2 separate regions of the Mus musculus genome follow, and region 2 is reported to be linked to region 1. The links are microRNA targets in miRTarBase. Many come from high-throughput screens and were not tested one by one. Region 1 holds a microRNA gene; the other region holds the end of a gene's coding sequence.
Evidence for each region. Region 1 holds the annotated microRNA mmu-miR-497a-5p (CAGCAGCACACUGUGGUUUGUA, at 4,157-4,178, shown strand). A microRNA usually pairs through its seed, bases 2 to 8, with sites in the 3' UTR of a target mRNA and lowers its output. Matches are read on the target gene's strand: a 7mer-m8 pairs with bases 2 to 8, a 7mer-A1 pairs with bases 2 to 7 and ends in A, and an 8mer does both.

Region 2: miRTarBase lists Reck as a target of mmu-miR-497a-5p. Seed matches in the 3' UTR shown: 8mer at 1,321-1,328.

Annotation. Positions count from the first base shown.
Region 1 is chr11:70,230,574-70,238,861 of GRCm38, forward strand. It overlaps Mir497 (microRNA 497), which reads left to right and starts at 4,144; the gene lies at 4,144-4,227. It overlaps 0610010K14Rik (RIKEN cDNA 0610010K14 gene), which reads right to left and starts at 7,341. Exons shown (of 6, transcript NM_145758.1): 1 at 7,211-7,341; 2 at 6,958-7,052; 3 at 6,304-6,405; 4 at 5,451-5,638; 5 at 5,123-5,227; 6 at 4,631-4,891. The coding sequence starts at 7,231. The coding sequence ends at 4,887. It overlaps Mir497b (microRNA 497b), which reads right to left and starts at 4,243; the gene lies at 4,119-4,243. Mir195a (microRNA 195a) reads left to right here and starts at 4,469; the gene lies at 4,469-4,562. It also overlaps Rnasek.
Region 2 is chr4:43,942,777-43,947,938 of GRCm38, forward strand. Reck (reversion-inducing-cysteine-rich protein with kazal motifs) reads left to right here. Exons shown (of 21, transcript NM_016678.2): 21 at 368-2,030. The coding sequence ends at 589. Among named protein-coding and RNA genes, the nearest start is that of Glipr2, 12 kb to the right of the region's middle.

The DNA of each region.
Region 1 (8,288 bases):
CGCCGGGGTCCAGCGCGGCAAGTAGGCAAAGCTCGGCAATGTCTGCATCCTTCCACGAGAGGGCGGTCGAGCACCAGCCTCGCTTCGCCCCTAGGTCTCCTGGCTGGTGATGTGCTCAGACCAGTGAGCTGGATGCATTCGGTCCAGGCTACAGGAAACTTTCAGCTGCCTTCTCTTTCTGATAGTTTCCTCTGCACCTCTGTCTCTTTGTGGGGCAGTAGATCGAAGACAGAAGAGTTAGGGTCTCCGCAGGAAATTCAGGCTAGAACTCTTATGGAAGGCTTTGGAATGAACATAGTGGTTAGGATGAGATGGGGTCTTGAGCCTGGGAACACAGTTGTTTTGTTTTCTAATTTGATAGACCCTTCTACCCAGATGTTTGTAGACAGGAATTTTCAATGAACATTAATATGAGCATTGGTCGGAGTAAACAGAGAGGACAGAGGAGAAAGGGCAGGAGGAACCTGGTAGCTAAGTACTTCATTCAGAAGCTAGGCAGGGACCACACCCTTAGATTTTGTTTGGGGAGCCTTGGGATAGAAGGACAAGTTTCCTTTGAAGAAGAGGGGCAGAGCTGAACCCAGGTACAAAGCAGGAGCTCTTTGAGTTTGGGGTTTGGAGCATAGCAGTTGTGCAAGAATGGACCAGCATATCTAGGCCTGAGGCCTCTCCCTTCTGTTCTTGGGGGTGGAGTACATTTTGTTTGTTTTATTGGTTTTGATTTTTTTTTTTTTTAAGCAAACGTAGCAAACAAAACTGCAAACCAACTGGGGGTTGGGGATAGCTAGGGACCCTGGATGACGATGTGGCTTTACTTTGTGAAGATTATTTGGTCTCTATCCAATTTTCATCTCCAAATTTGAGGTGAAAACATTAAGGGCTTTGATGTCAGGACAGAGTTAGCTATTCTGAGTTTTGGGGTGTCACTTGCCATAGAAGTTATTGTAGTCAATAAGGCCTGTTTTTAGTCTCGACAGCTGATAGCAAATTGGAGGTGCGGGGCTGGTTTTAAAGATGTCTTAGTTCGGGGGTTTGGAGGGATTTGATGCTCCCATGTGAGACTGTCCATCTCTAATTTCTGGTCTACTGGGGGAGCATGAGTACGCAACTAATTTGGGGGACATAGTCTCTTTCCAAGTGCTGTTTCAAGGTTTGGATGAGATTGTTTGGGGACATAAAGGTCAACTTGGGGCTTTTTAGAGAGCCCAGTTACATTGAGTTGGTGGCAGAGCCAGAAGCTAGGAGAGGATCTGAAGGCTTTCTGTAGCTGAGAGCTTGATTGATGGGGGGGCAAAGTTTTGTATTTGAATCTTGTGGAAACTCATTTTGAGGGTTGGATATTCCTGTGAACATGTTTATGTGTGAAACTCCTCCACAGGAGAGAATTGAGAAGCCCCCCCAGGGTAGAAGGATAGTTTGGGGGGTATCCAGTTTCTGGGTGTTTTGCCACTGGCCACATTTGGTGAAGCTGAGAGGTGGGTCATAAATTGAAATTGATTTGGAGGTTCACCTATTCTAAAGCACACTTCTGACTTAGGTTATCTTTTGCTGATAGTCCCCTGGCACCCCAGATTGTAAAAAAAATTAGTGAACCCCCAAATAAGGCCAGAATTTGAAGGGTGAAGCCTGGAAAAAGCAGTGTGGTCCATCATAGACTCACTGGAATATGACCTGTTGTGCTAAGGGGGGAAAGGTGGCTTCATACTCTGAACCCCGATTTCTTATGGAAGAAAAAATCCGTTTGGAGGAGATGGGGTGTCTCTTGTTAAAGTGGGTACTTTCTGACTAACAGTGCTGCTGAAACTGGCAAGGAAAGGCTGTGATGGTCTACAAGGGGGGGGTGAATCTTGCACCCTGATATTTTAAGATAAGAGCCCCAAAGAGAAAGCAGACAGAGGATTGGGAATGAGGGTGAACTGAGAGGCGGGGGAGGGGTTTCCAACGGCAGCAGGGGCTAGAGGGTAAGCCAGGCCAGATATTCCCGCCTAGGTCCCTGCTCTCTTCGGCTCTCCTCCCCTCTCTCCCTCCCACCGCCCACCCCCCCAACTCAAGGAAAAAAAAACTGCCTGTGCAATAGCAATGGCAGATTCCAGTCCTCCAGGCTTTCCTAAACCACCACCGAGACCAGCCAGGGGGGAGGGGAGGGGAGGGGAGGATCGGGCTTTCCTGCTTCCTTGAGACAGGGGCAATGAGCTTGACCTCTTGGCCCCTAGCCTTCTAAAGAGTGTCCCCCGGTCTGGAAACCAGGTGTCCTGGACCCTAGCCCCCAAGCGGGGGGGCCTGGAGAAACGGGGAGGAGGAAGGAGGGAGTGACTTCCAAAATTGGCATCGGGACAGAGCAGGGCTGGCGGGAGGCAGGAGAAAGACAGAATTTTCCTGAAAAAACGGGGGTATCTAAGGACCCCAAATTTGGGTAGCTAGTTCAGGACCATCTTCCCAACATCCTAGATTTTTTTGGGATTTTTTGGGGGCCCCGGGATCCCTCTAGATGGGGTGAGGAATGTAGTGTTGGGGGAATCTGACTGGGGCAATGCAGCTGCCTCTCCCGCCGAGTTGGAGACGGATGGGCTGGGACGGGTTTTGGGGGGGTGTCCCCAGTTCTGACTGGGAGTGGAGGAACCCCTCCAGAGCTCTCTTGTGGGGGTCCCCCACCCCAGGGCACTCCCCAGTCCTTGAGCCAGCTGAGAGGAAGGAGGCCAGCGATGCGACTGGGGCGTCTCTTTTCTCCTGCACCCCAAATGTGAGGGATGCACCCCAAAATTTGCTCCTTTCAAAATAGGGGACCAGGATCTCAGGGGAGAGTAGCTGAGGTAAGTGGGGAGGAAAGTGTCCCCTGTTTTCAGGAGAGACGTGGCGGTTGGGGGGGAGGTTTGGAGGTGCGTGCTGGGGTGGGGTTGCGCCTTGTAACTCTTGAAATTGGGGGGATGACCAGAGAAGCTTTCTCTTGTACCCCTAAGACGTAGCACCTCATACTGAAACCAAAGCTTGAGACTTGAGAGCCCCCAATATTCCTACAGACATTAGGACAGTGTTTGCTTTTTTTTTTTTTTAGCCCCACAAAAGCTTTGCTGGGATGGGAGCTGGGGGACAGCAGTTGTTTCTGGGGGTCCAGGAGGGTGCAAGGAGCAGGAGGCGTTGGCAGGGCTTGATATAGGTGATCTGGTAGTCTTGGAGAGGGTCTGGCATACTAGGGGGGCCTAAAAAGATTGCTTCACACACCATCTTAAATCTTTTGATTGCTAAGAGTTTTGGGGGGGTGTGTCGGAAGCCTGGTGGTGCTAAAAGGTGGGATGAGATATGGGAGGTTAATATCTAGGGTTTACAGAGTTTTGTTTTGTTTTGAAATTTCCAGAAGAAACTTTTGCCTTCTGGGAGGTTCTTTTTAAAATCAAGTCTTGGACAGGAGGAAAGGGCTATGGGAAGGCCTAGGGTTGGGGGTGGGGAAAAGGCATGTTTGTCTTTGCTTAAACGTGGCTCTCAGGGGTGGGCCTGCTTGCCTGGGCCTGGTGAATGGGCTAATGAGTGTTGCTGTGTGGGTGGGGCGTGGGTCTTGGGGGACCATGGGGAATGGAAGCAGCACTTGGGGTTGAATACTTTGCCCTCTGGTCCAGATGAGCCTCTTCCTGGGCTCTGCTGCATCCCTTTCTCCCTGGCCTCCATTTCCTGCCTTTGGCCTCCATCTTGTGGCAGGCCCAGGGCCCAGGGCGACTTCCGGCCCCCCTCTCTCAACCGTGTTCCAGCCCCACCACCTCTGGACTGCCAACTCCCAACCCTGCTGTCCTTGGCCCTGTGTCTTCCAGCATTTCTCTTGGGTTCTGACCTAGGGAGGGAGGAATGGACACAGGAAACCTTAGGTCCCTGCCTTTGTGGGAGGCAGTTTGTTGGTCTTCCCCAGTCATCCCGTTTCCTAAGGATCCCCAGAGCTGAATTCCTACAGAGGTGAAGAATGCTCCAAGCTTATCACATTGGACTCATCTGCCAGGGCCCTATCCTTTGCCTGCTAAACTACTTTTGCTGGTTCCTGATTGTTCCCCCCCCCCAGCTTTTTTGGGGGGCCATGTTTGCCATTCACACCTCTGTCTCACTCTAGGTGGGGGTCTTCACGGCACTGCCTGTGCTGTCTTCCTCTCGACCCACCCCAGTCCTGCCCCCGCCCCAGCAGCACACTGTGGTTTGTACGGCACTGTGGCCACGTCCAAACCACACTGTGGTGTTAGAGCGAGGGTATGGGAGGCACCGATGAGCCTGGCCCTGGGAGGCCACCCTGGAGAAGCAACACACACACACACACACACACACACACACACACACACACACCGTCTAGGGTATTGTGATGAAGTTCTTGCAAGGTGGGACAGGAGACACTGGAAAGAGCCCCTCTGCAACCCCCAGGTTGTCTGATACCAGTTATCAGGAACCCTGGTAATGAGTTCTGGCCCCACAGAGCAAAGTAGAGTCTTTGTTGCCCACACCCAACTCTCCTGGCTCTAGCAGCACAGAAATATTGGCATGGGGAAGTGAGTCTGCCAATATTGGCTGTGCTGCTCCAGGCAGGGTGGTGAGAGCTACTGAGAAGGGGCCAAGCCCCGAGGGCGAAGCAGAGGAGAGGGAACGGCAGCTGGCAGCACCATGTTGAGAGAATCTTTTTTAATTATAATTTTCTGTATAAAAATGTCCATCACACAGAAGTCAAAGGGCGAGGGCACATGGTTATCAGGAACGAGGTGGATGGCTCCAGCAGCCCTCTGACCCTCTCTCAGGCAGTCCTTGCTTAGAGTCCCAGGTGATCCACAGGTCCAGGGTGAACAATGAGGGTCAGAGGTGGAAGGCTCAGCAGGAGAGGAGAGGAGCATCAGCGGAGGTGGTGAGGAGGCCAGAGTCCAGGGTCAGGCTGTCTGGAACAGGAAGGAAAACGGACAGAGATGGAGCAAGCGTGGAGGATTTTTCCAAGAAAACCCTCACCTCCTCAAACGCCGTATTACTAACTGACCCATTCCCCTGCACTGAATCTTCCTTCTGAGGCCCCTGCACCAGAAAGGGGTTTTCTGTGGGGACCCTCCCCTACCATCCAGGTGAGTATGTTCCCCACCCCCAGCCAGCGTGGGAGGAGGAGGACTCCTACCCTGGTCAAAGTTGAGTTTCTTGGCTGGAGGAGTTTCTCCTAGCCCTTCGACATCCACCAGGTCACTGTTGGCGTCGGAGTCGTTCAGAGCACTGAGTGTCACATCTGGGAGGGGGCATAGGCTAAGTTCTAGGTTTCCCTGACTGCTGTCTTTCCCTCCTCCCAGTCTGCCAAAGCTTCATGCTCTACACATCCCTCTACCCACTCTGGAATCACCAGCGTACAGAAGAGAAGCGTCTCTCCTTCTTTGACCCAGGCCCAATTCTCTTATTGAATCTCAGATAGGACCTTTAACCCCTACCCTAGGCAGCAACTCCACAGCCCTCACCAGCCTTCTGTTTCTTTATGGGAGGAACCCCAGCTTCAGGGACACTGGAGCTGCTGGGTGGAGGGGCGTTTGGAGGTGAGAGGACACCGGACGTCATCTTCTTGGGTCCTTTCTTGGGTGACTCAGCTGGAAGGGGGATGCCGGAGTCTTCATACACTTTTCGCTTCACAGTGGTCTTTATCTGAGCCCTGAAGATGAGAGAGAGCAGATTAGGGTGTCATCAGAGAAGCCGAGGGAAGAGGGGAGGGGAGGGAATAATGGGCCACTCTGAAGGAATTCTAGGAGTTCCTTTGTAGATATCCAGGTCAAGGCCCCAGTTCATGTGTAATAAGGGTCCTCCCCCCCCCCCCCACGTTCAGAACTTTTGCATCCACTTAGGGCTAATAGATTAAGATGAATGGAGTCCCTGAACTGAGTGGCCAGAAAGGCCCTTTTCATGATCCTCTGGGAGAGATGCATGGTTTTGTAGGACCACCAGGTATGTTGTGGTGACATAAAGGTAGACTGAGACTGTCATAGAACCTGACCAACTAATTAGTTCAGAATGCATCCCCTGGACATGCCAGTTTCAAAGGATTTACATAAATAGCTAGGGAACTCTTATCATCAAACACAACCACTGAGTATCTGGGCACCATGAAAATAAAGTTCTCTGCAGGCCCTAGTGACCACTGCATTTCCTGATCTTCCGACCAACTGCCACAGTGACAGTCTCTCAGTCTTCAAGGAAATGCTAACAAAACTAGGAACAAAGTAGGAAAGATGCTGAGCTGGGAGTTCTGAGAGAGAACAATGGGTCAGGAGGAAGAAAGTTGCCCACCCTCCCCTTTCTCTGCCAGCCACCCTCCCTCACACTGTCCGTTCCTTGATGACACAGCTGATGTGATTAAGATCGTCCCCAAAGCGCTTCACAGCAGCCCTCAGCATCTCTATCTCCGTCTCCGTCCACTTGGCACTGTCGGAAGGGGAGAAGGGTGATAACAAAAGTGGAAGAGGGATGTGTGGAACCAGCCCACAGGCTATTCCGTCCACAGCCAGCAGCCTCTTCCCCCTAGTCTCTAGGGGCACCTTTCAAAGATTCATAAAAAGGACCTCCTTTTAAAAAAAAAAAAGCCCTGGGGACAAATCGCTGGCCACATGAAATTACATCCAGGGCCACTTGAAAACATCACTTCATCATGTAACAGCTTCCATAAACAACCCAACGGAAACCAATGAAACAAGTAGGGGCCTTACAAACACAACCCTTGAAAGATGTGTGGCAGCAGTTTGAGGGAGTCCACAGGGCTTGGGGTAGGTGGCAGACATTCTGTCGGTTTGCAGTGGAGGGCTGTGGCCTCGGTAGTCTCTTTACCTGTCATCCACTAATTCAACAATTACCACCTACACTGAGCTGGGCCAGGCACAGGGGAATTACTCTATCTCCCTGCTCTAGAGAGGGTCGTGTCTGTGACTTGAGTCCAAGCGTCTGATCTCGGAGTCCAGGTCCTAGGCTGGTCTCACGTACCCGGCAGGGGAAGAGTCCGAGACTGGATGCAGCTGCATCGTCAACTCCCCGAGCTTCGTGAAGGCGGCGCCGGCCGCGGAGAAGATCTCTCCAACCTGGGGGCGGAGCAGCATTACGGGGGGCCGGCAGCGCGCCGTCCCACCCCAGCCTCGGATCCGCCCGCCCCCCGCCCAGCGCGCACCAGCCGGGAGCCAGGCAGGGGGCCCACCCTCCCGTGGCCGCCAGGGAGCGCAGTCCGCGAGGGAGGTCGAACCTTGGTGGACGCTGACGTCATGGCCCCGCGCACCTCCTCACGGAGACGCTCCGCCGCCACCACCACCACGCGAGCTGGAAACCACGGAGAGCCCGGCAGCCGGCCGCTCGGGCTCCCGCGCAGGAAGTCCCGCCCTCCCTGCAGCTGATTGGCCGAGACCCGACCTCTCCCCAGTCACTCAAGGGGCCTCGCCGCGCGGAGGAAGACGAGGTGGAAGACGTTGCTTCACTTCCGGCTAGCTTCATTCCACTTCCGTCGGAGGGTCCGGACTCCTCGATGAGGCCGGTCTCAGCCCCTTCCAGCCCGGGCCCGCCCCTCCCTGAAAGCACAGACAGCAAGCTTAGGGGGAACCGCTTCTTTTTATTGTAGTTCAGAACGGGGCGCGGTCACCCTCGGTCTCCTCCAGAGGCTGGGCGCAGTTTTGCAGGGCCAGGGATGACGTCTCGCTAGGGTCACAAGTCCCAAAGGACGCCAGATGAGTGGGACGGAGTCTGCGGAGTCTTTAAATAGAGAAGGGGGCTGGGGAGGGAGAGGCGGACCGCGCTCTAGCGCACCATGTATTCCTTGCGCTTGTTGAGACGAACTTGGCAGAAGGAGAAGCCTCCGAGGAGGAGGTAGAGGCCCGCGGCGATGAAACAGTTGTAGCTGACTTGCTCGTACAGGTTGTATATGTTCTGAGGACCGTTCCTGAAGGTGGCGAGCGAGCAGGGAAATGTCAGCCATTCAGAGCATCCAATATGCAAGTTCTATGCATCAGACACCATGCTAAAGCACTTTAACTCCTATTAGTCTTCCCAAGAAGCATACCAAATGAATTCTATCATGGTAACCATTTTACAGAGGTAGACCAAGGAGCAGGAAGGCAAAATATTGGAAGAGGCCACATCTAAGCTGGTGGGCTTGGGTAGCCATGGAAACGTGGCTTGCAAGACTGCTCCTAAGTACATGCCTTTCTGTGTCTCTGTCTCTCGCGCTGGGGATTGAAACTAGGACCCTGCGTGCTGCCACCCAACTACTTTGTAGAGAGCAGCCCTCTTCTTGAAGTCCCCAACCTAGGGCCACAAATGTCCAGTCTTCA
Region 2 (5,162 bases), not on the chromosome of region 1:
GGACTCAAGGAGGTGGGTGAATGGAAGCAGTTCCAGCTGCCTCCGTCCAAGCCTGTCTCTGTCCTCACCTTTAACGCAGGAGGGAAAGCCTTTCCTGTAGCTGTGCCAACAGTAGCCGTGCTGTCTAGTGACATAGGCAGTGTGTGCTGTGCTATAGTACAGAACCCAAATGGCCGACTGGCCAGGGCAGTGGCGTTGCCGTTTCTAATTTGCATTGATGTCTAACATGTGTGTAATAAGCTAAGCCCATCGTTAGCAGTAGCTCTGGCTCGGACAGTAGGGACAGAGGAAAGCAAGCTGCCTCTGTGGCTGCCTGGACCTGCTGAAGGCGCAGAGGCTCTGTGTTGAAAGCTCCTTTCCCTTGCAGATTGAGGCCTGCAATAAGGAGGCAGAGAAAATCGAGTCCCTCATCAACTCCGACAGCCCCACGCTGGCGTCCCACGTCCCACTCTCGGCCCTCATCATTTCCCAAGTGCAGGTCTCCAGCAGTCTCCCGTCATCTGCTGTTGTGGGCAGGCCTCTCTTCCACTCCCTGCTCCTCCTCCTCAGCCTGGGCCTCACCGTGCACTTGCTCTGGACTAGACCCTGACCACCCACAACTGGGAGGAACTGCAAAGCCTTCCTCCACCCAGCCGTCCACCTTGTGAAAGACATTCAGGACTGCTAGCTGGTGACCAAGCAAAGGCATGTGGCACCTCTTAGCACCACACAGTATTTTTTTCACCTGCCAATATTAGGGGGTTTGCCTTGGTTTATAAAATGGTAAATTAGACTCTCCCAATATAATGAAGATGATGCCTCTTCCTGGTGGATCCCTGGCCAGTTCACACTCGCTCAGTAGATGGCCCCCCTTCCCCAAAGCAAATTTAGCATCCCTGATCAATGGCATGGTCACTTTATAGGAGGCAGCCCCCTTTGTCCTTGGGTGGGTGCCCTGGTCTCCTCAGAGTTCCTGTGAGTGCTGAGGCCGCCATGTGCTTGTTTCTGTGTCTGGAGGCTGAGGGCTCAGTGAAAAGCCGCTACCTGCCATGACAGGGCGGGCCGGAGGAGAAAAACATCATTGAATTCTCACTAGCTCATAGGCTGACTCCATAGAAATGTAAGGCAGGACTCTACTCTGCTTAGCAAAAGCAAGACGACCAAGTGACACTCGTGCCTGTCTCACACTTGGGCCTCTCAGCAGTTGTCATTTGTGCCTGTGAGTGGGGGCGGCCCCACAACATCCAAGCATCTATGTCATGCCTGCCGTGTTGTGTTAGCCAGATACACTCGCCAGTACTCACCAAGTCCACAGGTTTAAAGGTCAGACTTTAAACCACTTGCTGCTACTATATAACTGCCAAAAAGTAAGATTATTAGGAGTTCATGTAAATAGTACATGATTTTTTATTTTATTATGAAGGTGAATAGCCATATTTGTAAAATGACAATCATGTGTGTTAGCCCCATACTTTCATGAAGACACATCTGCTTTTTGTAATGTGCACAGTGTGGATAAGTGTGTGTCCGACTTTCCTTTGATATAGAATTATAAAGAATGTGGTTTATATATTTAAAATATCAGGCTAAATAGTAAAATGTTTGCATGTTGTCTAAGAAATTGGATACTTTGAATGTTTTACAGTTTGAAATAAGCTATTAATGTAATACTTCCTGTTTGTATGCACCTGAACTTAGATTTTACATGAAGTATTTTTCAGTGTTATATGTACCCTCTGAAATATAGCAATATGCTTATTATACCAAAATGTTGTTGAAAGTGGGCACTTAATGCTTTCAGAGGATCTCAGTGCCGATGTCGATGTACCTCTGTCACAGTTGCCTGTTTCTGTCTAAATGTTTTCAACATACTAGACTATATTATATGTATATTCTCTATATAGTATACCACAATATACTATATATATTCTATATATAGTATACAGCACTATACTAGAAAGCCTTTCTATTTTAATAAAAGTAATTTTATATGATTATTTGTACTTCCAAGCAATGTGAACATTGAGAATGAAACAGTTCCTTACCCTTAAGTGAGTTGTGTCTTTACTGTACAGGGAGAGGTCCTGGAGTGACATCCTCCCAAGCCAAGGCCTGTAGGAGAGGGAAGCAGTGCTCGGCCAGAGAGCAGAGTCCGGTGCAGACTGCAGCTTCCGAGACAGGAACAGACAGGCAGGTCTACTCCCTTGGCCTCGTGCTGCAGCTCCAGGATACATTTGGGGACAGATGACTGTGCGGGTCTCCCAGTGAGGGCCTGCTCATCCCATCAGTTACTTAGGATAAGCGCACCAGCCCTGTCGTGTCCCTCATCCAAAGCTGCAGCTGTCCCCAACACTGTCCCATTGCTGTGTCCTTACAGAAGGGAGAAAAACCCAGAGCCACAGCTATTCCTGAAGTCTCCACTCCCAAGTGCCAGTCATTTCTGCTACATTTTAGTGGTCAGAGGAAGTCACATGACTGCTCCTGAGCAAAACTTCTGGGTGGGAATATAAAATATTCCCGGGGTGGTGGTGTCTGCGTCTTGGGGAGAAGTAATGAGTGTTTTGAATGATGCAGTCCTCATGAGGACAGACAAGAGCCAGGACTGGCTGGGTTTCTCTCAGAAGGGTGGGTACGGCATGCTATGGCCTGGGAGTCGGGTTGGGTTTGGGCAAGGGAATATATAAAGGAGAGATCTAAAGCTGATCCTGCCCTGGGACTGTAATCACACGAGCTGCCAAATGGTGATAGACTCAGGTTAGCTTGGGGCATAATGTCCTCAACAGCCCTTGTGCTTAAGTGGACATCCAGCTGCCTCGTGCACAGATCATAATGGCTCCCCGGCCACCGAGCAGATGGAGTTTTTGCTGGGACACCCCCACCCCTACCCCAGCAGTAATCCTGAGATCCACAGGCAGAAAAGTAAGCTGAGGAGAGATTCCTGTGCCTTGAAGCTTACAGGCAGAATGCAGGGGAAAGGCCTGCTGCAGGAGGAAGGCAGGTTGGCTGAGGTAGCGGTATGAAAAGGACCTGCCTTCCATCTGTAGCTTGGGTCATAGTCACAGACCTTCAGTGTTCTAGCATGCAGATAAGGTGGCAAGAGCCACAGGGAGCCCCTTCTTTCAGCAGTGGCTTTTATGGGTAAGAACTGTTTCTCAGAACCATCTCCACATGCATCCACATTTCTCTGTGGCTGGCAGGGTCAAGCTCCCACGCTCGTTACTGGCCAAGGGGAGTGAGGGCCCTAACTGGCTTAGTCAAGGGGGATACTGCTGCGTTAGAACCAGTGCGGCCCTGCAGTGTCCGTAAGTTAGATGGCAAAGAGCTGCTGCTTTAGCTGCAAACTCCACTTCTTGAGTACACAACCTGGTTCCGTTCGTCTCTGCAGTCTCTGCCTACTAGAGTCTTACTATGAAAACACTTTATTTTTTCCAAGGAGAAGAAGAAGTGACCATTCTGGCTTTGCTGTAGGCACCTCTGTCTCCAGCCAAGCTGTAGACCCCACACACCTCTCCTGTTCCAGAATTGCATTCAATAGTGTCCGCTAGATAGACAGCCTCTTGTCTTTCCTTAAGTCTCCCCTCACCTGGAAGACACTTGGAGGCCCTGTACAGTTGTCCCCTGAGATGGGACAGCTTGTGTTTTGTGTCTCACCTTCCACTGGGAGAACTGTCACATGATAAATGATGAAGAAGAATCAAGATTCCTGACCCATTTCCTCAAGGCTGTCCAAGGCTTCTTGTCATCTAAGCACCGTGCCAAAATTCTCAGTGAGTTCTCTCCTGGGGTTCTCATCCTCCTCAGCATTTCTGATACCACACAGTTGATACAACTAAGATCTTATGTTAGGGGTGTGGAGAGATGGCTCCGCGGTTAAGAGCACTCATAGCCCTTGCAGAGGACCCAGGTCTAGGCCCAGCAACAACAAGGTGGTTCACAATCATCTGTAACTCCAGGTCCAGGGGTCCAAAGGCCCCTCTTCTAACCTCTGTGAACTCCTGCACACATGTGACACATGCACACACACACACACAGACATACACAAAATAAATGTTTTCTTTTTCAAGAAGACTTGACCTCAGATACTGTCTTAGTCAGGGTTTCTATTCCTGCACAAACATCATGACCAAGAAGCAAGTTGGGGAGGAAAGGGTTTATTCGGCTTATACTTCCATACTGCTGTTCATCACCAAGGAAGTCAGGACTGGAACTCAAGCAGGTCAGGAAGCAGGAACTGATGCAGAGATCATGGAGGGGTGGTGCTTACTGGCTTGGTCCTTATGGCTTGCTCAGCCTGCTTTCTTATAGAACCAAGACTACCAGCCCAAAGATGGTCCCACCCACAAGGGGCCTTTCCCCCTTGATCACTAATTGAGAAAATGCCTTACACTTGTATCTCATGGAGGCATTTCCTCAACTGAAGCTCCTTTCTCTGTGGTAACTCCAGCTGTGTCAAGTTGACACAAAACTAGCCAGTACAGATACCTAAGGAACGTTGGGAGTAGGAAAAATAGCCTTCCCCAGGGAGGCACATGAGTTGGTTATCCTATACCAAATTGTCAGCCCGGAAAACTTAGATACATGTAACATTATACAGACTGAGCAGGTTGTATTTTGGAATATATGTGTATACACATATACATATATGCATGTGATTGAATAATAACACACTAAATTGCATATTATAACACCATTGAAAAGAAGAGGCCGTGGGCTCAGGAGAGGTAGCCCTATGCCTTGGCTGGGCAGCACGGGAGAGCTGACCCTGGATGGTGTTGCTCATTGGAGAGCTGGTAGGCTGACCAGTTTAGCTACCCTCCAGGCTCAGATCCAGGGCTTTGAGTTGGTCCACCCCAACATCTACCCCATCTATGACCTGCTAGAGTGTGTGAAGGGGCCGGTCTTCCAGATCCAGAGCTGCAGGATCTCCACCACACATGGCAACCACAGAATATCTGAGAAGAGTCTCAGTGAGGATCCTGTATTGAAAGTGTAACAGAAGCCAGAGGCCTTGAGCCAGACCAATGACTCACTGCGGTGAACATTTATTTGCAAGTAAAGATGTGTGGACAAAAGGGTGTACTGTGGGGCACACTGCAGCTCCCATGGCAAGAATGTTTTTTGCTTGTCTGTTTTCTTTTGGCAGGAAGGTTGCAAGGTGGGGGGAGGCTATCAAGTGATAGGGG